Anolis sagrei: one gene and its partners. The protein of the gene in region 3 purifies or fractionates together with the protein of the main gene of each other region. This does not show direct contact. Links are inferred from orthologs where the notes say so. Each region holds a gene or a part of one and is shown on either strand. Other genes may lie near its edges.

Region 1 (7,328 bases), on a different chromosome or scaffold from region 3:
GACCTTGGATACTTTTTGCTGAAACTCAAAAAACCTCAAGATTCACCATCCACAGGTTCCTGTCAAATGCTCTCCAGTGTAAATGGGTGTTTAGCGGTCAAATACTTGCATTGTGTTTTTAAGTAGAAAAATCCTGTAGAAAAAGAATGCATTTAACACAACCCAGCTATAAATTTCTGGAATGTTACAAGAACTAACATTTTTCTTTGTTTTTAAATAGAATGATAGAATTGCCAGTCTCAAAACCTTGGCTTAAATTAATGTATTAATCTGTCAATGGAAATGAACACCAACCCTTAGAAAAATACTACATATACAATTTTATATATTTTTTTGTAAACATGGACATTTTTATTGAACATTTATTTCCCTTAGTTTGATCATGTTAAAGTAAATGAGTCAATGCCATTACCTTCATGTTTCCAGTTCATTCAATGAAAGCAGAAGTTAAAATCCTTTAAGATAATTTTTTTCAAGTCCTTCTTTCTTGTTGGTGGAAAAACCACAATGAGGCCATGAAATCTATATGTTGGCCATGGGCACTGCCCAGGTTAAACAGTATTCATAATCAGCCTAACTTTGGGAGCAGATTTTGGTTTAGGGTACAAAGATTAAGGTTGGACCGTCTTCTTGCTTTAGGCCTTAAATTGTCTTCAGTATGAGGTTTGTCTTCTTTCTTTTTACAATTTCCCCTGTGGTTTTAAAAGCTCCTTCCTCTTTCTATCTGTTGCTGTGCAATTCCTTCAGAATGCAGCTTAGTTGCTGTAAACTACATATGTTCAACTCACTGTTCAGTCTATAGTGTGCTTTTTTAAAAAAAACAAAACCCTGCAAACCTAGAATTACTTATTTCTGGGTTCTAAACACTGTGGAATGGACAGTGTTGCTAATTTTCTAATTGTGCCTGTTGTATGTACATTCATTCACAGTGATCAGGCAATCTAAATAGACTTACATTGAATGGAAATATCAGTATTTGAAGCTGAGGAAGGAGCATGTGAAAACTCATTGGGTCTATGAAACATACTGCTATTCATGTATCAAACCATTGTGAATGTAGGGATTTCCAGTTCCAGCTAAATAAATTCTTAAAAGTGTATTGCATTTGAGTATCTAACCATTCAGAATCCCACTTTGAATGGATTGCAGATGATCATCTTAAATATCTCTAAAGATGAAACTCAGTTCTGGTGGTGAGAGATAGGAGATAATAGAAGAAAAATGCTTCATCGACAGTAGGCTACTGTTTGCTCATAGGGGCAAACCTGTTGTAAGTGCACTGAATACAACACTTCCAAGTTTATCAGAGAAACCAAACTGAGAATTTTGCTGCCTGCAAAATATGACTGTCGTGTCCAAACATGTAATCATAAATGTGCTATGGAGCTTCTTGATTTAGTCAGTGCATAGTTTGTTTTTAAATGAAGCTTTAAAATCTACTTAAGGACTATTTTGCTTTTAAAAGCCAGATTGTTGCATCTTGTAACATTTTCTAGTTCCTTGATTTTTCCACATGCTGCCGCATTTGAAGCTACAGAACTTGCAGACTGTGCTTGAATCATTTGCTCTTTTTAGTTGTTCAGGCACTGGATAAAAATACTGTTCATAGCTGCCTCGCATCCATTTTTTTCTGCACTTGCATTGGGTATTTAACAACTCGGAGTTAGAACTAATTTTAATGCTTGAGTTAATGCTGTCTTTTGAAGAAGCTGTTTTGTTCCTTTATTTTTCCATAGAACACATATTCCTTTCTTTCCAAAATAGTTGCTGAAATGAACTTCTTTTTAGATAATGTCAGGAGGCAATGCTTAATCTAAAGCTAAAGGTGTAATACGTTTGATATTCACAGGGGTTTCTCCAGAATGCTCTGCTGTTTGCATGTTTTGGCTTTTTTATGTCAGCAAAATTTGCAAAGGCACTACAATAACTTTTGTTTTTAAAGTTTATGTATTTCAAAAATCTTGATCCCAATGTGTCTTGGTGAATCCATATTACAGAATATTCTACACCAGGAAAATATCATATCTGCTATCTTGAAGTTAAACAAGAGTTCATGTATTATGAAGTTGTTGAGTTTCCAAATAATTGAAGTGCTGTGACTTGAAGGATGGTTATTTTTTTAAGTTTGAAGAAAGTATATTTGGATGTATGAAATATTTTGTGCTGATAGAGTTGAACTGATAGCAGGAAAATAATTCCATATATTAAGACCATATAGAAAATGTATTATTGCACAGAAGGGAATAGCAAGGTGAATGGGATGTTAGACTACTTACTTGATTTTTATTTTGTTCAGAAAATAAAGACCATCACAGCAGCTTCAAATCCATTGGTGTTAGTGTGTTGGGTAAAAGTAGACACTTTTTCATCAAGATAACGTTCTTTGATGAACAACTGGTCTTTCTGAAAATAACACTGCAAAGTTGCACATGTTTAAAATGCTGATGTAAAATGCACTGAGTTTCATATGTGGATGTTGCAGATGACAGGGGAATCATATACAATCAACCATTAATGAGGAAAAAGTACCCTGGGTCTTGAAAGCTTAGCTCCACTTGATTTGTGGCAGTAAATATGGTGCTTTTTCTTGGCACCCTTCTGCCTTCTCTTCAGCTATAGTCTTCTAATGCCAGTATTGCCTCCATACAAGTTTCAGATGCAACCCCCCTTAAAGTGTTGGAAAAAAAGACTGTGATTTTCTCATAAGTCCTGACTGTTATAAAAATGATAAATCTGAAGATGCAGTATGCATATAAATATATTGGTTAAGTTATGAACAAATGTAAGCATACTCTGATTAATAAAGAAACATAAACCACTATTTTCTATTGTCTAGTTTACTATAATGTTTTTAATCTTTGGAGTTTAGTATTAGGGCATGAATAAGAGACCAAATGGTTCTGAAAGAACTAAATATCATGCAAAAAACATGTTGGTCTAGCTTTCCGTTTGAGATGTACTGAAAATACATCTAGCTTAATGTTTTAAAACAAAAGATTCCATCTTGATTCATTTGTAGATTTCCGTGTGTGCCCATGCCTTCAAGTCATCTCTGTTAGGCAAGGAATATTCAGATGGTGGTTTGCCAATTCCTTCCTCTAAAATCTGGCACTCGTTGACTGTTTCCCATCAAGTACTGTTCAGAGCTTAACCTGCTTAGTTTACACAATCAGCTGAGATAATAACTTCAGCGTTAACTAAATTGAATTAATCGGTATTTTTTTTAAAAAAAAATAGTTCAAGTAAACATATAATGAGCTTTTAGAGGTCTAAGTCACCTGAATTATTTTAAAAAATTGTCTTGCTCTTCAAAATGTGTCTTATTCAGTCTGTTAGTATTGGTAATTATGGACATGATGGGAAATGCAGTTCTACAAGCTGTCAGGAAATTTATTTCAATTTATTTATTTATTTCCATTCAATTGATAAAACCTTGTTCTCCAGTTTGCTTTGTATATCTTTTGCTGTGAGGTATATTGTAATGGTTAGAAGATGCACGAATGCAAAAGCTTGAAAAGGTCATTAATTGAAGTCTGAAGGGGGGGGGGGGTGTCTTGTAAGTACTGTTTCTCTAGTAATCTTTTTAAAAGGACAATCTGATTTGACTTCTGGCTGTCCTGAGGGGAGCTCTGTCCTTTTTGTACTCTATGAAGTCGCCTCTCCCAGCTTTCCTTTTCCCATTCAGAGGAACAGCATACAAATATAAGAACTTCCTAACGATGAGAGCTGTTCAGCAGTGGAACTCTCTGCCCCAGAGTGTGGTGGGGGCTCATTTGGAGGCTTTTAAACCAGTGGGTCTCCAGATGTTTTGGCCTTGAACTCTCACAGCAGGTAAATGGCTGGGATTTCTGTAAGTTGTAAGCTGAGGGGACCAACAGGTTGAGAAATAATGCTGGGTGGGCATCTGTAGGAGGCGGGGGGCTTTGAATGCGATTTTCCTGCTTCTTGACGGGGTTAGACTGGATGGCCCAGTAAGTCTCTCCCAACTCTAGGATTCTATGATTCTAGCTTCCATTTGATTGGGCGGGGTCAATCATGAAGCCCCGCCCCTTATCTTCTTCCGGAAAGGTGGGGGGAGGGGGAGACGGAAAAGCTCGGGTGAAAAAAAGTTCCCTCCTTCCCCATCCCGTCCTCCTCCTGCACTATTGGCTGGCCCGAATGCCAGTCAAAGCGCAGCAGCCAGTGAGCTCGCGGGTCGTGACGCCGCCGCCGCGTCGGGAAGCCCGCCCCCTCGGAGCTGGGGGAAGGGAGGCAAAGGGGGCAAAGCCATTCCAAGATGGCGGCGGCCGAGGCGAGGATAACAATGGGTCTGGGGAGGCCGGGGCGCCTTTGGGCCTGAGGCAGGGAGCGGGGCCTGGTGCGGCCTAGCGGAGGAGAAGGAGGCGGCGCTGAAGTTGGGACCAAGGGCAGGCCGGTGCTCGGACATGGCGCCGCCGCCCCCGCCGGCTTGGTGAGTCCCTCTCCCTCGTCTCCGTCCTCTCCTCTGGCCTCGCCTCCTATGGTCCTGGCCCCTTCCCCGATGGCGGAGTTCGCGGTGCCGCGGCACAGCGCGGTGATGGAGCGCCTCCGCCGGCGGATCGAGCTCTGCCGGCGGCACCACAGCGCCTGCGAGTCCCGCTACCAGGCCGTCTCCCCGGAGCGCCTGGAGCTGGAGCGCCAGCAGACCTTCGCCCTCCACCAGCGCTGCCTCCAGGCCAAGGCCAAGCGCGCCGGGAAGCACCGCCAGCCCCCGCCGCCCCCGCAGGCCCAGGCCCCACCAGCCGCGGCCTCCGCCGGAGCAGCCCCCTCGGCGCCCGCCGCCCCCGCCGCGCAGGCCCCGGGCCCCGCCGCCCCCTCCTCCGCCCCCGCCAACGGGCTGGACGCCGACGCCGCGGGCGGGGAGCAGGCCCAGCAGCAGCAGCAACACGGGGGCCGGAGCAGCAGCAGCAGCAGCAGCAGCGCCCTCATCGCGGTGAGTAAGGAGCAGCAGGCCCCTCTCGACCATTTAAAAGGAAGTTCTACTTCCAAGTGAACTCTCCCCCGAGTTTGAGCGCCTCCCGGCCTCTTTCCTTCTCTCCCACCCTGGGCAGGAAGCAGCCAGGCAAGGCACTGCTCCCCCACCGCCTTCCCTTCTCCCATTCAGGCACCAGTCCTCCCTCTCTCTCCTTGGTAGGCAAAGTCCCCACTCCTTAGACTTCCAGTTGAGTTGAGGACAAAATAAGAGTGTCAACTGATTTCTTTCAAGTGCCAAGGCGATATCTTGGCTCCTCCAGATTAACGTGGTGTTGTTTTTGTTGTTATTTGTTTATTATTTATTTATTTACTCTATTTAAATACCGCTTTTCTCACCCCAGGAGAGAACTCGAAGCGGTTTACAACAAATAGTGGCAAAATTCACCCTCACATACATAAGAAGCCAAATAATAAATCTAAACAAAATCAAACAAGAAGTAAATATGGAATATGTGTAATGGACATCTGGAATGGCCCAGTCTATGAGTTTGGATCATGTGATTTTAATGTTTTTATTAGGTGTCTGTAATTTTTTTACTTCAGGTTTAAATGTCCTATTACATTAATAACATTACAATATAATGGTATGGTACAATATAGTAATATATACTGATATTGTACTTTGCTAATAATATAATATAATATATTGTATAATATAATATAATATATTGTATGAAAATATATATTGTAAGCCGCTCTGAGTCCCCTTCGGGGTGAGAAGGGCGGCATATAAGCATCGCAAATAAATAAATAAATAAATAAATATTATCTTATGGGGAATTAGCCGTATTGTATTTTATGCTTAGTCGTATGCTGTTTGATTTATGATTTGGTTGATGTATGTAAGGCAGGCAGCCACAAACTGCGGCCATTCAGATGTTTAGGCCCCTCCATCTCCCAGAAGCCTAATGACCTGGTTCAGTTGTCAAAAATTCTGGGAGTTGAAGGCCCAAACAGCTGGAGGGCCACAGTTTGAGGATGCCTGATGTAAGGCATTGAATTTTGCCATTAGGTTTTGTAAACGGCTTTGAGTCTTCCCAGAGGTGAGAAAAGCGATACATAAATATTGTAAATAATAAATGAATAAATAAAATTGCATTAAAATCAATAAGACAATTTAACATAAGATAAAACAAAATTTAGGCATGAGGACATAAACATTCAAACCACCTAATATGAACATTAAAATCACATGATCCAAACTCTTAGACCAGGGCCATTCCAGACATCGATTGCACATATTCCATATTTATTTCTAGTACTGCGTTACTTTATTAGCCAAAAATTTGGCTCCATAACTATATCTTTGTTCTCTTTCTAAAGGCCAGGAGGGAGGGCACTGATCTAATCTCACTGGGGAGAGAGTTCCAGAGCCAAGGAGCCACCACTGAGAAGGCCCTGTCTTTCGTCCCCACCAACCGCACTTGCGAAGCAGGTTTTACTGAGAGCAGGGCCTCCCCAGAAGATCTTAACCTTTGTTTTAACAACAGCAACAACAACAATGTTGTGAAGAATGTAAGATCTGGCTTGAGGGGCCAGAGTAGGCCTGCAAGGTTGTTTTGCCTTCATATCCTCTCTTCCTCCCTCCCCTTAGAATAACTCCTTGTATATCAGCATGTGTCCCTTTCACCTATTTAGAAGGAGGTTATATTTTGAAGTGAACTATGAACCTTCTTCCCCTGAGTTTGAACAGAGTAAAACTGAAATACTAGGTGGCACTGTTGTCCCTCCATTGCATCTTGAATTTCCCGTTCTGGGCAGGAAGTCGCACAACAGCCCAGTAACCAGTCAAGTCAAAAGAGTAATTGTTCTGCTATTCACTTAAGCCTTGCCCATGGATGACATCTTCTCCCATTCATTTCGGGCACAAATCGTCGTCCTAGTTGGTAGAAAAGTAGTAACTCCTAGACTTGCAGTTGAATAGTGGCCAAAATAAAGGGTACACTGGATTCTTTCAAGTTTCAAGGGGAAAACTTCAGTTTATTGCTGTGTTGTTGTTGTTTTTTTTTACTGTTACTCACTTTTATAACAAAAAGAGGAACTAGTGAAATGTAAGATCTGACTGCAGGGGCTGAAGTAGACCTGAGGGGTTGTGTTGCCCCCAAGGCACCTCCACCCCATCACCCTTTAACATAGCTTCTGGTGTGTGTGTGTATGTGTGCCTTATTTAAAAGGAAGTTGTCCTTTGAACTATGAACCTTCTTCTAAGTTTGAACAGAGTAAAATTAAAATACTAGGTGGCACTTTTGTCCCTCCATTGCATCTTGAATTTCCCACACTGGGCAGGAAGTTGCATGCCTGCCCCATAACTATTCGAGGCAAAAGAGTAATTGTTC
Region 2 (8,175 bases), on a different chromosome or scaffold from region 3:
CTATATTATTATTATTATTATTATTAGATACACAACATGATTAGTACACAGCAAACAAGATCACTCTGCTGGCTTTTGTATTCGATCACATGTCGGACATATTATTATTGTTGTTGTTGTTATTATTATTATGAGGAAAAAGCTGGCAGGATGGTCCGCTCTCTGGGGAGCTTTGATTGTGTCCTTCCTGCCTAACAGAAGAGACTTGAACTCTTCCAACCCTAGGACCATATACTTGTCCTAAACACAACAGAAGAGACTTGAACCCTTCCAACCCTGGAACTTGGACCCTTCCAACCCTGGGACTGTATGGTTGTCCTAAACAGAACCGCAGCATCCGCAAAGGCCAATGTGCTTGCCTCACCTGTCGAGGAGGGGCTTGTCGGGCCCGCGCTGCTGCTGCTCCTCGTCGTCCTCCTCCTCCTCCTCGGGGCTGGCACTGCCCAGGATGCGCTTGCGAGCCTCGGCGTACTCGGCCTCCCTCTGGGCCAGGGACTTGACGGGGAAGGCGGGCCGGCTGGCGGTGCGAGGGCTGCCCAAGACCCCGTTGCTGGTGGGACGCTTCAGGATGCGGATCTGGGGAGGGGGCCCCGCCAAGGGAAGGCCCTCGTCCTGCAGCACCACTGGGGGGGCCTTCGGCGGGGAGCGCGGCTTCCGGCTGCGGAAAGAAATAGACTGAGCCAGTCAGGACGACAACGACGTGCTAGGACAGGAAGGAAGCAGCAAATAAATAATAATAATAATAATCTTTATTTATACCCCGCCACCATCTCCCCGATGGGGACTCGGAGCGGCTTATATGAGGCCAAGCCCAAACCGCAAATTACAATAAAATAAAACTGAAAATGCAAACAATAACAACAACATAATTACACAAAGCATGTGAAAACATAGCAATATAGAATTACAATAGGCACAACCAAAGGACAAAGGGTTTAGAGCAGGCATGGGCCAACTTCAGCCTTCCCTCCAGGTGTTTTGGACTGCAACTCCCACCATTCTTAACAAGCCAGTCGTAATAAAAGTGAATGTTTGTTGCGCCAGCTCCACTGGCTGCCAGTTTGCTACTGGGCCCAATTCAAAGTGCTGGCTTTGGCCTATAAAGCCCTAAACGGTTCTGGCCCAACTTACCTGTCCAAACGTATCTCCCCTTATGAACCACTTAGGACTTTAAGATCATCTGGAGAGGCCCTGCTCTCGGTCCCACCTTTGTCACAAGCATGTTTGGCGGGGGTGAGAGACAGGACCTTCTTAGTGGTGGACCCTCAGCTATGGAATGCCCTCCCTAGGGAAATCAGATCTGCTCCCTCCCTCTTGACGTTTCGGAGGCAAGTTAAAACATGGCTATTCGAGCAAGCGTTTACAAATACAGAGTAGCTAATATAGGAAATCGAATGACCTGACAATGGAATTGGACAATGCTTGAGAATAATGAGACGCTGATGATGTTGCTTTTATGACGTTTTATACTGTTTAATGTTTTTTATCTATTACGTTTTATGTATACTGATTTGTTAGAAACCGCCTTGAGTCGCCAATTGGTGGTATACAAATACGGTAAATAAATAATAAATAAATATGTATGTATGTTTGTGGGCAGTGGGCAATGCGGCGACGTTTAGCAAAATATTTAATAGCAATAATGGATACACTTCCACTTTGAGTCTCCTTCGGGAGAGATAAAGTGGGGAATAAATAAATTCAATAATAATAATAATATTATAATAATAGATAACATAATATATAATGGTAATATATTGTAATACCAATAATGGATACATAGCCACTCTGAGTCTCCTTTGGAAAAAATAAAGTGGGGTATAAACGTTTTAAATAAATAAATAAATAAAATTATAATATTATAATAGACAACATAATAATATAATATATAATTATAATATATTATAATAGCAATAATGGATACATAGACACTCTGAGTCTCCTTTCGGAAGAGATAAAGTGGGGTATAAATAAATACAATAATAATAATAATAATAATAAGAAGAAGAAGAAGAAGAAGAAGAAGAAGAATTTAATAGATGACATAATAACACAGTATATAATTATAATATATTGTAATAGCAATAATGGATACATAGCCACTCTGAGTCTCCTTCAGGAGAGATAAAGTGGGATATAAATAAATACAATAATATGATAAATAAATATAACCATAAATATAATAGATAATAATAATGTATTGCAATACTAATAATGGATACATGGCTTTGATTCTCCTTGGGGAGAGATAAAGTGGGGTATAAATAAATACAATAATAATAGATAACATAATAACACAACATATAATTGTAATATATTGTAATACCAATAATGGATACATAGGCACTCTGAGTCTCCTTCGGAAGAGATAAAGTGGGGTATAAATAAATACAATAATAATAGCATTATAATAATATACAACATAATAATATAATATATAATTATAATATATTGTAATAGCAATAATGGATAGACACTCTGAGTCTCCTTCAGGAGAGATAAAGTGGGATATAAATAAATATTATAATATTATAAATAAGTATAACAATAGATAATATAATAGATAATAATAATGCATTGCAATACTAATAATGGATACATGGCTTTGATTCTCCTTTGGGAGAGGTATAAATAAATACAATAATAATAGCATTATAATAGATAATATAATAACATAATATATAACTCTAATATATTGTAATAGCAATAATGGATACATAGACACTCCTTGGGGAGAGATAAAGTGAGGTATAAATAAATATAACAATAATACCATTATAATAGATAATATAATAATATAATATATAATTCTAATATATTGTAATAGCAGTAATGGATACATAGACACTTTGAGTCTTCTTCGGGAGAGATAAAGTGGGGTATAAATAAATAAAATAATATTATAATAATAGATAATAATATAATATATAATTCTAATAGCAGTAATGGATACATAGCCACTCTGAGTCTCCTTTGGGAGAGATAAAGTGGGATATAAATATAGTATAATAATAATAGATAATATAATCTATAATAATCATAATACCAATAATGGATAGCAAGCTAGTAAATACATCAAATGTAGAGCAGGCCTTGGCCAACTTGGGCCCTCCCTCCGGGCGTTTTGGACTCCAACTCCCACAATTCCTAACAGCCTACCGGCTGTTAGGAATTGTGGGAGTCCAAAACGCCCAGAGGGAGGGGGTCCAAACAAAGGGAACTCCTCACCTCTCCTTCTGGCTGATCTTCAGCTTCTTCTCCAGCCGCCTGTCTATTTCCTGCAAGGCAAAAAAGGGGCGTTTGAGGAGACCCCCCTCAACGAAGGAAGCCAGGCCTCCTCCCCCTTGAAGGCAGGCAGGCAAGCGCACGTGGGAGGGCGCGGCCCCTTTAAGAGGCCTAGCAGGCGCCCCGAAGCCTGCGCCTCCTCCTCCTCACCCCGCTGTCGGCCGCCTCCTCCCAGCTCTCCGCGACCTCCTCATCTTCCATCGTCAGGCCCCTCCGCCGCCGCCAGCCCGCTCGAGGCGCATGCGCGCTAAGCCGCCCCTTCCTTCCTTCCTTCCCTCGCTCCCCTTCCCTTCTTTTTGCCCCTCGCCCTCGCCGCCGCTGAGGCTCCTCGCTCGCCGCCCCCCGAACAAGAGCGCATGCGCGGCTTCCCGGGCTCCTACCCTTTTCGTCGGGCGGAGCATGCGCGGTTGGAGCCGTGCCCTTCCTCGCTCCGCCCCATGTAGGGAAAGGTGCCCGTGTGCGCGTGCGCAGTGGCGCCCCTGAGAGCTCGGGCAATCCCTTCAGCCGTGTGGCGCATGCGCAGTATCCACATGTGCCTGCATGTGGAAAGGTGGGGGTTCGCGCGTGCGCAGTGTCGCCCCTCGCTCAGCGCAGGGATTCCTTCTCAATGTCTCAATGTAGAAAGGTGCGAGGTCGCGCGTGCGCAGTGTCGCCCCTCGCTCAGAGCAGGGATTCCTTCAGCTGTGTGACGCATGCGCAATATCTCTATATGTCTCAATGTAGAAAGGTGCGAGTTCCCGCGTGCGCAGTGTCGCCCCTCGCTCAAAGCAAGGATTCCTCCAGCTGTGTGACGCATGCGCACTATCCCTATCTGTCTCAATATAGAAAGGTGCGAGTTCGCGCGTGCGCAGGGTCGCTCCTCGCTCTGAGAGGGATTCCTTTAGCTGTGTGACGCATGCGCAATATCCCTATATGTCTCAATATGGAAAGGTGCGAGTTCGCGCGTGCGCAGTGTCGTTCCTCGCTCTGAGAGGGATTCCTTTAGCTGTGTGACGCATGCGCAGTATCCCTATATGTCTCACTGTAGAAAGGTGCGAGTTCGCGCGTGCGCAGTGTCGCAGGGATGCCTTCAGCTGTACGGCGCATGCGCAGTATCCCTATGAGCCTCTGCGAACGGTGCGAGTTCGCGCGTGCGCAGTGTTACCTCTCGCTGTGCGAGCAGGGATTCCTTCAGCTGTGTGACATATGCGCAGTATTTCTATATGTCTCAATGTAGAAAGGTGCGAATTCGCGCGTGCGCAGTGATTCCTTCAGCTGTATGGCGCATGCGCAGTATTCCTATGTGCCTCCGCGAAAGGCGCGAGTTCGCGCGTGCGCAGTGTCGCCCCTCGCTCTGAGAGCAGGGACTCCTTCCATATCCCAAAGTGTCTCCACTCTCCGTGTGTAGAGAAAGTGCCAATTCACGCATGCGCAGTGGCGCCATTCACCCCGAGAGCGGGCATGCATTCAGCGGCGTGGCGCATGCGCAGTATCTTTAGGTGCCTCCGCTGCTTCCATATAGGGAGGGGCCGGTTTTGGTTTTGCGCGTGCGCAGTGGCGCGAATTCCTTCACCAGTGTGGCGCATGCGCAGTATCCCGAAGTAGGAAAAATCGGATACACGAAAGAACCTGAATTCCTTCACCAGTGTGGCGCATGCGCAGTATCCCAAAACACCGAAACTGAGTATTGGTCGATAGGGGGAGGAGCCAAGATGGCGTCACAATCCTTCCCAAGATGGCGCCGCCCTGACGAGGGGGCAACCAAGATGGCGCCCGCGCAGGCCCCACGTGACGGCGGGAGGCGCCTGCGCGTTGGCCTCGTCCCCGCCCCTGAGCCGAGCGATGGCGGCGGAGACGGTGGCCGGGAGGGCTCAGGCGGGGGAACCCCGAGAAGGCGGCTGGCGCTGCTGTGGGCGCCCGGCCCGGAGGAACCGAAGGCGGCTCTGAGGAGGGAGAGGGAGCGCGGAAGCGGCAGGTGAGGCCAGCAGCCCCCCTTCCGGCCCCTGGCCCCGCCCTCTCGTGATGTGGCAGAAACGGAGCGCCCCGCTGAGAGGCGCCCAGGCCTCTGGACTACAACTCCCAGCAGCCCCCGCCGGTTGGGACCACGGCCGGGCATTCTGGGAGTTGGAGTCCCTGAGGCCTGTCCCGCCTCTCCAGACAGTAGGCCTGGGCCTTCCTGTGTTTTGGACTCCAACTCCCAGCATTCCCAACAGTCTATAGAATAGATCCAGGCCTGGTGTTTTGGGCTCCCAACCAACATCCTATAGATCAGGAATGGGCCAACTTCGGCCTTCCCTCCAGGTGTTTTGGACTCCAACTCCCAGCATTCCTAACAGTCTATAGAATAGATCCAGGCCTGGTGATTTGGGCTCCCAACCAACATCCTATAGATCAGGCATGGGCCAACTTCGGCCTTCCCTCCAGGTGTTTTGGACTTCAACTCCCACAATTCCTAACAGCCTACCGGCTGTTAGGAATTGTGGGAGTTGAAGTCCAAAACACCTGGAGGGAAGGCCGAAGTTGGCCCATGCTTGCTAAAAATTCAGACCTGCTGTCGGGAGAATCCAGGTGTTTTAGACTCCCGATTCCTAACAGCCCATAGCGTCAACGATGTCTTGTTTAATAGACACCCATGAAATCATTCCGTTTTCCGTGAACTTCCATCACAACGTTTCCACGTAATCTCTCTGTACAACGCAATCTGTTTTGGATTCTGATTTGTAAACAATCTCCCTTGCTACAATCTCCCTCGCTCCTTATCGCTCAGCTCTTCACTCGACTCTTTATTAGTTGTTGCTATTTCTGACTCCTCGGAATAAACGCCCTCGAGGCCCCTGCTCTTCCAGAGTCAGTTTAATCGACACCCATGAAATCATTCCGTTTCCCGTTAATTTCCTTCTCATTTTCACTCGACTCCTTTTTAGCTCTTGCTATCTCTGACTCCTCGGAATGAACGCCCTCGAGGCCCCTGCTCTTCCAGAGTCAGTTTAATTGACACCCATGAAAATATTCCATTTCCCGTGAATTTCCTTCTCATCTTTACTCGACTCTTTATTAGCTGTTGCTATTTCTGACTCCTTGGAATGAATGCCCTCAAGGCCCCTGCACTTCCAGAGTCAGTTTAATCGACACCCATGAAATCATTCCGTTTCCCGTTAATTTCCTTTTCATCTTCACTCGACTCCTTTTTAGCTCTTGCTATTTCTGACTCCTCGGAGTGAACGCCCTCGAGGCCCCTGCTCTTCCAGAGTCAGCTTAATCGACACCCATGAAATTATTCCGTTTCCCGTGAATTTCCTTCTCAACTTTTCCACGCACTCTCTCTGAATGGCACAGTCTATTTTCAGCTGTGATTTGTAAACGATCTCTGTAAGTACAGATAGTTTCCCATGGGAACCTTCCTTATCGCTCAGCTTTTCACTCGATCCCTTATCTGCTGTTGCTACTTCTGACTCCCCTGAATGAATGCCCTTATCCTCATTTCCTAGACTTGAATTTCCCAGACTTGAGAGCCCATCGCTTTGTGCCACGGGAAAGCCCCAAATCCTCTCTAAATCATCAGTGAAACCACCAGCTTCTGGTGGCTGATCTATAACAGTTGGAAAGGTATCTGTCAGGAGGGCTTTGTTCCTTTCTTGCTTGGCTCTGATTTGTAAACAGACTTTTGTTGATCTCCATAGTTACAGGTGGGTTTCCCTGGGAACCCTCCTTATCGCTCAGTTCTTCACTCAATTCCTTATCTGATGTTGCCACTTCTGACTCCTCTGAATGAATGCCCTTGAAGCCCTGCACTTTCTGAGCTAGTTTATCCATAAAGAGAACCATCATTTCCTATACTTGAATTTCCCAGACTTGAGAGCCCATCGCTTTGTGCCACGGGAAAGCCCAAAATTCTCTCTAAGTCATCAGTGAAACCACCAGCCTCTGGTGGCCTATCTATAATAGTTGGGCAGCTATCTGTCAGGAGGGCTTTGTTCTTTTCCTGCTTGGCTCTGATTTGTAAACAAAGACTTTTGTTGATCTCCATAGTTACAGGTGGGTTCCCCTAGGAACCCTCTTTATCGCTCAGTTCTTCACTCAATTCCTTATCTGCTGTTGCTACTTCTGACTCCTCTGAATGAATGACCCTGAGGCCCTGCACTTTCCGAGCCAGTTTTCTCACAGAATTATAATTGTTTGTACTGGCATTGAATTTTGCCATTACTTATGTGTAAACTGCTTTGAGTCCCCCTCGGAGTGAGAAAAGCGGTATACAAATACCGTAAAAACAAATAAATAAATAAATAAATAAAATCATTTCTCAGACTTGAGAGCCCATCACTTTGTGCCACAGGAAAGCTCACAATCCTCTCTAAATCATCAGTTATACCACCAGCCTCTGGTGGCTGATCTACAATGGTTGGGTAACCATCTGTGTCAGGAGGACTTTGTGCTTCTCCTGCTTGGCTCTGATTTGTAAACAGACTTTTGTTGAACTCTTCAGCTGCAGGTGGGCTCCTCTGGGAACCCTCCTTGTCACTCAGCTTTTCACTCGATCCCTTATCAGCTGTTGCTACTTCTGACTCCCCTGAATGCATGCCCTTGAGGCCCTGCACTTTCCGAGCCAGGTTTCTCACAGAGAGAACCATCATTTCCCGGGTTTGAGAGCCCATCGCTTTGTGCCACAGGAAAGCTCACAATCCTCTCTAAATCATCAGTTATACCACCAGCCTCTGGTAGCTGATCTACAACAGTTGGATAACCATCTGTGTCAGGAGGACTTTGTGCTTCTCCTGCTTGGCTCTGATTTGTAAACAGACTTTTGTTGAACTCTGCAACTGCAGGTGGGCTCCTCTGGGAACCCTCCTTGTCACTCAGCTCTTCACTCAATCCCTTATTGGCTGTTGCTACTTCTGACTCTCCTGAATGAAT
Region 3 (7,912 bases):
TAACCTGGCTGTCTCTCGTTGAACTATTTGAAGCTTCCAAGCAGTCTTCAAAGGCAATCCCACGTATTTATTTATTTTATTTATTTACTATATTTATATACTGTCCCTTTCAGCCCGCAGGCAACTTGGGACCGATGGTACCAACACCAAGTTGGTACCAACATCATAAAATACAATTTCAATATAATAAAACAATCGAATAATAAAACCATAACAGAATCAATAAAAATGTATCATTAGGGTCTCCTCATTAAAAACATTGTCCAGTCACATTGTTAACCATTCCACTTTTCTATTTCTGTTACCCTTTATTTGCAAATGCCTGCTCAAAGAGCCAAGCTGGAATATGTCCAGAGGAGGGCGACTAAAATGATAAAGGGTCTGGAGAACAAGCCCTATGAGGAGCGGCTTAAGGAGCTGGGCATGTTTAGCCTGAAGAAGAGAAGGCTGAGAGGAGATATGATAGCCATGTATAAATATGTGAGAGGAAGCCACAGGGAGGAGGGAGCAAGCTTGTTTTCTGCTTCCTTGCAGACTAGGACACGAAACAATGGCTTCAAACTACAAGGGAGGAGATTCCATCTGAACATAAGGAAGAACTTCCTGACTGTGAGAGCCGTGGAACTCTCTGCCCCGGAGTGTGGTGGAGGCTCCTTCTTTGGAAGCTTTTAAACAGAGGCTGGATGGCCATCTGTCAGGGGTGATTTGAATGCAATATTCCTGCTTCTTGGCAGGGGGTTGGACTGGATGGCCCATGAGGTCTCTTCCAACTCTTTGATTCTATGATTCTATGACTCTATTTAACCTTGGTCCCTTTTTGTCCTGTTTTCTTGGATAACTTTCAGTTTTTGGAACCTGTAGCTATGGACAAAATTCTTGGAGAGATGATTCTATGATTCTAACTCTCTTCCGAAATGTTAAAAGGGAGGGGGCCGATCTGATGTCCTTAAGAAGGGCGTTCCATAGCCGAGGGGCCACCACTGAGAAGGCCCTGTCTCTCGTCCCCGCCAACCATGCTTGTCATGAAGGCAGGACCGAGAGCAGGGCCTTCCCAGACAATCTTAAAGTCCTGAGAGGTTCATAAGGAGAGAAGCGTACTGCAACACATAGAGCGTGTTGCAGTAGTCTATCCTGGATGTAGTTTCCAAGCTGTCTTCAAAGGCAGCCCCAAGAAGAGAGCATTGCAGGAATACATATGAGATGTAACTAAAGCTTTGGGCCTCCAGGTGTTTTGGACTTCAACTCCCAGAAATCGCAGCCAGCTTACCACTCTGGGAGCTAAAATCCAAAACACCTGGAGGCCCAAAGGTTGGGAATCACTTATCTAAAGCATGGACCACCGTGGCCAGATCTGGCTTTTCGAGGTACAGGCGCAGTTGGTGCACAAGCTTTAATTGAGCTTCCAGGGTCAGCGCCGAGGCCAGTGTAAGCAGTGCATCCCCTCCCCCCTCCCCGATCCTCAAACACTCTCTGCTTCATTCGGGAAAATGCTACACTCGCAGAGCTCAGGCGGTGTTGTATTTCGGTGTCGATGTTGACTTTGGTGGAGAGGTGGCTGCCAAGGTAGCGGAAGTGGTCAACATTTTCTAATGTTACACCATTAAGCTGTATCTCTGGCATTGGGGAGGGGATGGCTGGCGACTGCTGGAACAGCACTTTGGTTTTTTCAATGTTCAGTGACAGGCCAACCTTCTCATATGCTTCTGCGAAGGTGTTTAGAGTGGCTTGTAGATCTTCTGAATGCGCACAGACGACATTGTCATCAGCATACTGGTATCCGTAGGGATACCAAGGTGTTTGTCTATAAAGCTATTGTCCTCCCAACCCTGCTATATGCCTGCGAAACGTGGACTGTCTACAGACGTCACATGCAACTCCTGGAACAATTCCATCAGCGCTGCCTCTGGAAAATCCTGCAAATCTCTTGGGAAGACAAGCGGACAAATGTCAGCGTGGAAGAAGAAAAAGCCACCAGCATTGAAGTGATGGTCCTCTGCCATCAACTCCGCAGGACCGGCCACATTGTCCGGATGCCTAACCACCATCTCCCAAAGCAGTTGCTCTAATCTGAACTTAAGAACGGAAAACGGAATGTTAGTGGACAGGAAAAGAGATTTAAAGATGGCCTCAAAGCCAACCTTAAAATCTCTGGCATAGACACTGAGAACTGGGAAGCCCTGGCCCTTGAGCGCTCCAGCTGGAGGTCAGCTGTGACCAGCAGTGCTGCAGAATTCGAGGAGGCACTGAGTGGAGGGTGAAAGAGAGAAACGTGCCAGGAGGAAGGCGCGTCAACCCCGACCGGGACCGCCTTCCACCTGGAAACCAATGCCTTCACTGTGGGAGAAAATGCGGGTCAAGGGCTCCACAGCCACCTACGAACCCACAAGGAAACCCATCATGGAAGACCATCTTACTCGTCCAACGAGGGATCGCCTAAGTAAACAGTGCATGGACCAAGTGGCCAAGTCAGATGTCTACCGGAATGGGTCCTCTGGGCCCTAAAAAGCCACCCTGTGCTTTGTCTGGAGAAGGGTTTCGAAGCGGGAGAGTTTTGACAGAAGAGAAAGCAGGTCCCTCAGCTCTCTCGCTTTGTGTTCCCCGCTGGGAACTCGGAGTGAGCCAGGGGCTCCACAGAGGAGCGACCGGGCCCTCACAGGCACGAGGGTCCCTATGGAAACTCGGGCAGAAAACCCCTCACACTCCTCGCCCCTCAACGGCCGAGCAACGCGGCCTCCCCCCGGCCACCCGCCCTCGCACACAACCCCACGCACCGCACACACGCTCCTCCCGGAGGAGGAAGAAAGCCCGGCCCCAGTGGGAGGCCAGGAGTGCCAGCCGAGAGGCCGAGGCCCGGCGGCCCGAGAAAGAGCGGGAGGAACCGACTACGGAGCAACTATGCCACGAACCCCCCCGCACTCACCCTGTCACAACAGGCGCCATCTTCCACAAACTCTCGCCAAAACTCCTACTCTCGCGAGAAGCGGCCAATGTGTCCGCCGCCACTAGCAGGAAAGGCGCGCGCATCCCGCATTTCCCTCCCTCCCTCCGAGAACGCGCACGCGCACGAGCGAGAAAAACAAAAGGCCGAGGGGCGGGGCTACAGGCAGAACGTTGGCCCCGCCCACGTGCTCTGCTCACTGACTCCCAGCTGCTTCCCTTTTTCCCTCGTCTCAAGAGGCAGACACAACAGGCGTGGGAACAGGAACCCAAGCCTCGCGAGTCCTCATGAATGGGAGGCAGGCGCTGACATCGCGAGAGGATAGTGATAGTAAAAAGGAGGGGTGTATGTGTATGTGTGTGTTTCCTTCCTGCCAATCATTCCGGCGCAGTGCTGTCAATAGCACTCTCCTCCCCCCCCCCCGGCCAGAGAATGGAAAGGCCCTGAAACTGAAGGGAACGTCATATTCTTTAATAGAGCCATTCGCAACGTTCTATGGACGAATCCATTAGTTAGCATGGGGGGGTTAGGGATATACCCAGCCGTTTTAAGAGGAGAAACTACAATAAACAAATAGCTTAATTCTCTTAAATAAAAAAAAATACTTCTAGGCCCATTGCTCTACTTTGTGCATTTTGGGGCTTTTGAGTTAATTTGTAACATATTTGTGTTGCACATCACTTGGACCAATGAGGAGGGCCAGAAATCCGCCTTGGTTTCTGTTCCAGAGTTTAAGGGAGCTTTCCATGGTGCTGAACTGAGTTTCCATCCATTCCAAAAATGCTCTTTTTATTGTTTTTCTTGTCTACTTGATGCGATTTTAATTCTATTGATTGTTTATTACTTCTTTACTACTTCTTTATTATGGCATTGCGTGTTTTATAATTTTTTAATGAGATGTTGTGGTTTAATTGATTATTTTTTAATGATTGTAATGTTTGTGTTCCCATTTTATTCGCCTCTTTGAGTCCCAATCTCGAAGAAAAGTAGGATAGAAATAAATTATTAATAATAATAATAACTGGAATTTTATATATATATATGTATATATATATATTCATTTTCTTAATTTAAAATTTAACATAAGAAACCCAAAGAAACAAAAACTTACATACTTACTTACTTAGGCGATCCCTCGTTGTCCGAGTAGGATTGTCTTCCAAGATCGATGTCTTAGTAGTGGGTCCATAGGTGACTGTGGAGCCCTATTTTTGATCTGCATCTTCTCCCACAGTGACAGCATCGGTTTCCAGATGGAAGGCGGTACCGGTCAGGGTTGGCTTGACGCTCCTTCCTCTTGGCACGTTTCTCTCTTTCACCCTCCATTCGTGCCTCTTCAAATTCTGCAGCACTGCTGTTCACAGCTGACCTCCAGCTGGATCACTAACAGGCCAGGGCTTCCCAGTTCTCAGTGTCTATGCCACAGTTTTTAAGGTTGGCTTTGAGCCCATCTTTAAATCTCTTTTCCTGCCCACCAATATTCTATTTTCCATTCTTGAGTTTGGAGTACAGTAACTGCTTTGGGAGACGGTGGTTGGCCATACGGACAACATGGTCCAGCAGAGTTGATGACAGAGGAGCATCACTTAAATGCTGGTGGTCTTTGCTTCTTCCAGCATGCTGACATTTGTCTGCTTGTCTTCCCAAGATATTTTTCAGAGGCAACACTGATGGAATTGTTCTAGGAGTTGCATGAGACATCTGTAGATAGTCTACGTCTCACAGGCATATAGCAGATATATATACACATACATAAATGACAACTGTATAACTAGCTACACAATTTCTCCTACAAATGTGCATCTCTACTCTAATGACATATAACTTTAAAATAGAAACTTGCATGCATAAATCTGTTTTTTAAGAGAGGATTTCCTGCTTCACTTTTGCCTATTTCTCTATAATTTAGCATTTTCTTCCTCCTCCTTATAGCCAGCAAATTATTTATTTCTGCTTGTTTTTACATTAACAAATCTCTATCCCAAGGGTTTATATCTTCAAAACTGTACACAAAGTATATTACATATAGTGTTAATTTTTTACGGAAGGTAATCCCTCCCTAGGAATGTCTAGATCCTCTAGCATGATTTTATGGTCAATGTCTATGGAAGTTAAGCATACCATCGCATTGGTGGTCCTACCAAGTCATATAAAGAACATTTTAATCAATTCCATGAATAATCAAATCTTCAAAAGTCAAACCTTCAAATGTGGGGAGCAACTATAAAAGACTGCAGCCCAAATAGTGATCCTAAGCACAGTTACAAGCCATAGTGACTGGAGTTGGATTGAGAATGCGGTTTCCAGCAGAGGAAAAAGGTCACTTGTATTTGGGATTTGCATCTTGCTGGTATATAAACCAAAGAATAGTGGAACATTTGAAGGATATGTTGGAGAGGAAAGTATGTGACTTCTACCATCCCTTACATTCCCCACCAAAGAGCCACACTCTTTGAGTCATTTTCCATATGAAATTCAACTTCGCAAATGATAGTCTATATCCATTTCAATCTGGTTTCAGGCCTGGTTATAGGACAAAGGTCTACAAATCCCTTCACAGCTCCGTTCCAGATCTGAAGGACTGTATCTCTTTCTATGAACCTGGGAGACATCTGCAATCGACTGGGGAGGGCATTCTCTCTGTCACACCATACACTCAAGGAACATAGGAGAGGGACTTCTGCACCCAAATTGTGTAACTCCCTCCCAAGAGAAACCAGGATGGCCCCATTCCTGCTCTCCTTCTGCAGACAGGTCAAGAACTTCTTCTGCCAGCAGGCATTTGGGGAAGGATAAGGGGCAAAGTGTGGGATAGTTAGCTGCCTTGAGTCCCCATGCAGAGAAAAGTGGGATATTAATAAAGTTAACAATAAATAATAAGATAGCTTTGGTCACCTTAGTGGATGACATACATGGACAACTGGACAGAGGGGAGTGTGTTTCTGTTGGTTCTCCTGGACTTTTCAGTGGCTTTTCATACCATTGACCATGGTATCCTTCTGAGTTGCCTTTCTGGAATGGGTCTGGAAGGTACTGGCTTCTGGAGTCCCTCAGAGTTCCAGTTTGCCTCCTTTTCACCTACTTCCAAGGAAGTGGTTCCTGTGCTAAACTGGTGCCTGGCAGCTGCAATGGACTGGATGAGGGCAAACAAATTGAAGCTTAATCCAGACAAGACAGAGGTGCTCTTTGTCAGTCGTAAAACAAATCTGGGAACAGAGATTCAGTCTGTGTTAGATGGGGTCACACTCCACCTGAAAACACAGGTTAACAGTTTGGGGATAATCTTGGATTTGGTTCTGAACTTGGAGGCCTAGGTACTAGCAGTAACCAGGAGTCTTTTATTAAAGCTAGTATGCCAACTGTGCCCAATCCTGGAGAAGTCAGATCTGGCCACAGTGTGGGTTACAGCCTGCTTGGACTACTGTTATGCACTCTATGGGGGGCTACCTTTGAAAAGTGCTCAGAAACTTCAGCTGGTCCAAATAGCAGTAGCCAGGTTATTAATCGGGGTTGGCAACAGGGGGTGTCCAACTCCTTTGTTGTAGCAGTTCCACTGGCTGTCAACACATTTCCGGGAACCATTCAGAGTGATACAAAGCCCTTATCTTTCTATGAACCTGCTAGATATCTAGGATCTACTAGAGAGGGCCTTGTCTGTCTCACCACCTGCTAAAGTGCATTTGGTGAGAACAGTGGAGAAGGCCTTTTCAGTGGCTTCTCCCAGACTATGGAACTCCCTCCCAGGAGAGACCCTGCTGGCCTTCTGCAGGCAAATTAAGACTTTTCTCTGCCAGCAGGCAATTGGGGAAGGAAGAGGGGAATGCTGCAGGGGAGGCTGGAAGGAGAGTCGGGGATGATATTTCATTTTAAATCTAATTTTAATTTTATGAGTTATTTTATTGAATCTTAATCATAATTTTGAATACATGACACAACTATTTAATTGCTTTTAATTGTTCTTTAACTTTTGTATTTGCCATGTTTTTAAATTTATTGGTTGTGTCATGAAATTGTAAGTTACCTTGAGAAAGGTAGAATATAAATAATAAAGAATTCTGAAACAAGGGGGGGGGATAAGTTTTCACTTGATTCTATGCTAGAAGGAAGGATATGTGATCTCCACTATTCATTACAACAGACCTCATCCTCCAGGTAAGTACAATGCTTCTTATTTGTTTGTTTGTTTAATTTATATCCCACCCTTCTTCTAGAATTGGACCAAAGCAGTCTACAAACTAACAAAATAAAATGTGGCTAATTTATGTGCTGTACAAAAAATTTGGCCTGCAGCTTTCAGGTTTTGAAAAAAGAAAGGGAGAAAAGTTTCCACACAGTAAAATCCATTGTGGCGCAATTCTGCGTACACCCACAGGAGGTTAAGTTCTTTTCAAAAGTGTGGGAGTTACCTCTGAGACAAACACATGGAACTGAAAAAAAATCTTAGAAAGGATCATGATTGCAATAAGGGAGTGTTGAATCTAATTGGGGCAACACCCTAAAGGACTCTTTTGCACTCTCTTAAGTTTGTTAAGTAACTATCAGTAAGATACTGGCTTCAGTATCAGTGACATAAAGAGGCTACACCTTGCAGGGAGTTAATAATAGGCAGGAATAACCAGTAGCATTCTCTAGTAATGTTTTAATGGGAGCTGGGATAGCTCATAATAGAAATTATGGCAAACTTCCCTCCCCAGACTGCTCCAGATGGGACTTCATTATCTCTAAGGAAGGTGTAATCAATTCATTGGAGTATAAGAATAGTATAACCATCTTAAGTCTGCTGTTTTAGGTCAGTCTGCTGGACTAAATCAAGGACAAATCTGCCCACTTCCTCAAGGTTATGGTTTTATGGGTCCTCTCAGTGAGGTAGACCCTGCCTACTTAGTAAAATAGCTGCCTCAAGGAGACAATTTGGAATTCCACAGAAAAGCAACAAATTGTTAGGATTTTTTTTATTGTTGACATTTTAGTGGT

Evidence for each region.
Region 1: the proteins of RBPJ (region 3) and MAML1 purify together in Homo sapiens (co-immunoprecipitation; 12 studies listed by BioGRID and IntAct, counting the BioPlex papers as one, with this or other methods). This does not show direct contact. The link is inferred for Anolis sagrei from reciprocal best matches to the Homo sapiens genes RBPJ and MAML1.
Region 2: the proteins of RBPJ (region 3) and FBXO42 purify together in Homo sapiens (affinity purification with mass spectrometry; 3 studies listed by BioGRID and IntAct, counting the BioPlex papers as one, with this or other methods). This does not show direct contact. The link is inferred for Anolis sagrei from reciprocal best matches to the Homo sapiens genes RBPJ and FBXO42.

The regions. Positions count from the first base shown.
Region 1 is NC_090022.1:86,839,768-86,847,095, reverse strand, and holds the start of MAML1 (mastermind-like protein 1), read left to right. Parts: upstream 1-4,218; 5' UTR 4,219-4,498; coding exon 4,499-4,951; intron 4,952-7,328. UniProt on the Homo sapiens protein: Acts as a transcriptional coactivator for NOTCH proteins. Has been shown to amplify NOTCH-induced transcription of HES1. Enhances phosphorylation and proteolytic turnover of the NOTCH intracellular domain in the nucleus through interaction with CDK8.
Region 2 is NC_090033.1:7,742,511-7,750,685, reverse strand, and holds the start of FBXO42 (F-box only protein 42), read left to right. Parts: upstream 1-5,065; 5' UTR 5,066-5,239; intron 5,240-8,175. Other genes in the region: SZRD1 (SUZ RNA-binding domain-containing), read right to left, coding at 365-658, 3,229-3,278, 3,436-3,486. UniProt on the Homo sapiens protein: Substrate-recognition component of some SCF (SKP1-CUL1-F-box protein)-type E3 ubiquitin ligase complex. Specifically recognizes p53/TP53, promoting its ubiquitination and degradation.
Region 3 is NC_090025.1:113,055,509-113,063,420, reverse strand, and holds the start of RBPJ (recombining binding protein suppressor of hairless), read right to left. Parts: upstream 3,052-7,912; 5' UTR 3,025-3,051; coding exon 2,921-3,024; intron 2,859-2,920; exon of another isoform or gene 2,772-2,858; intron 1-2,771. UniProt on the Homo sapiens protein: Transcriptional regulator that plays a central role in Notch signaling, a signaling pathway involved in cell-cell communication that regulates a broad spectrum of cell-fate determinations.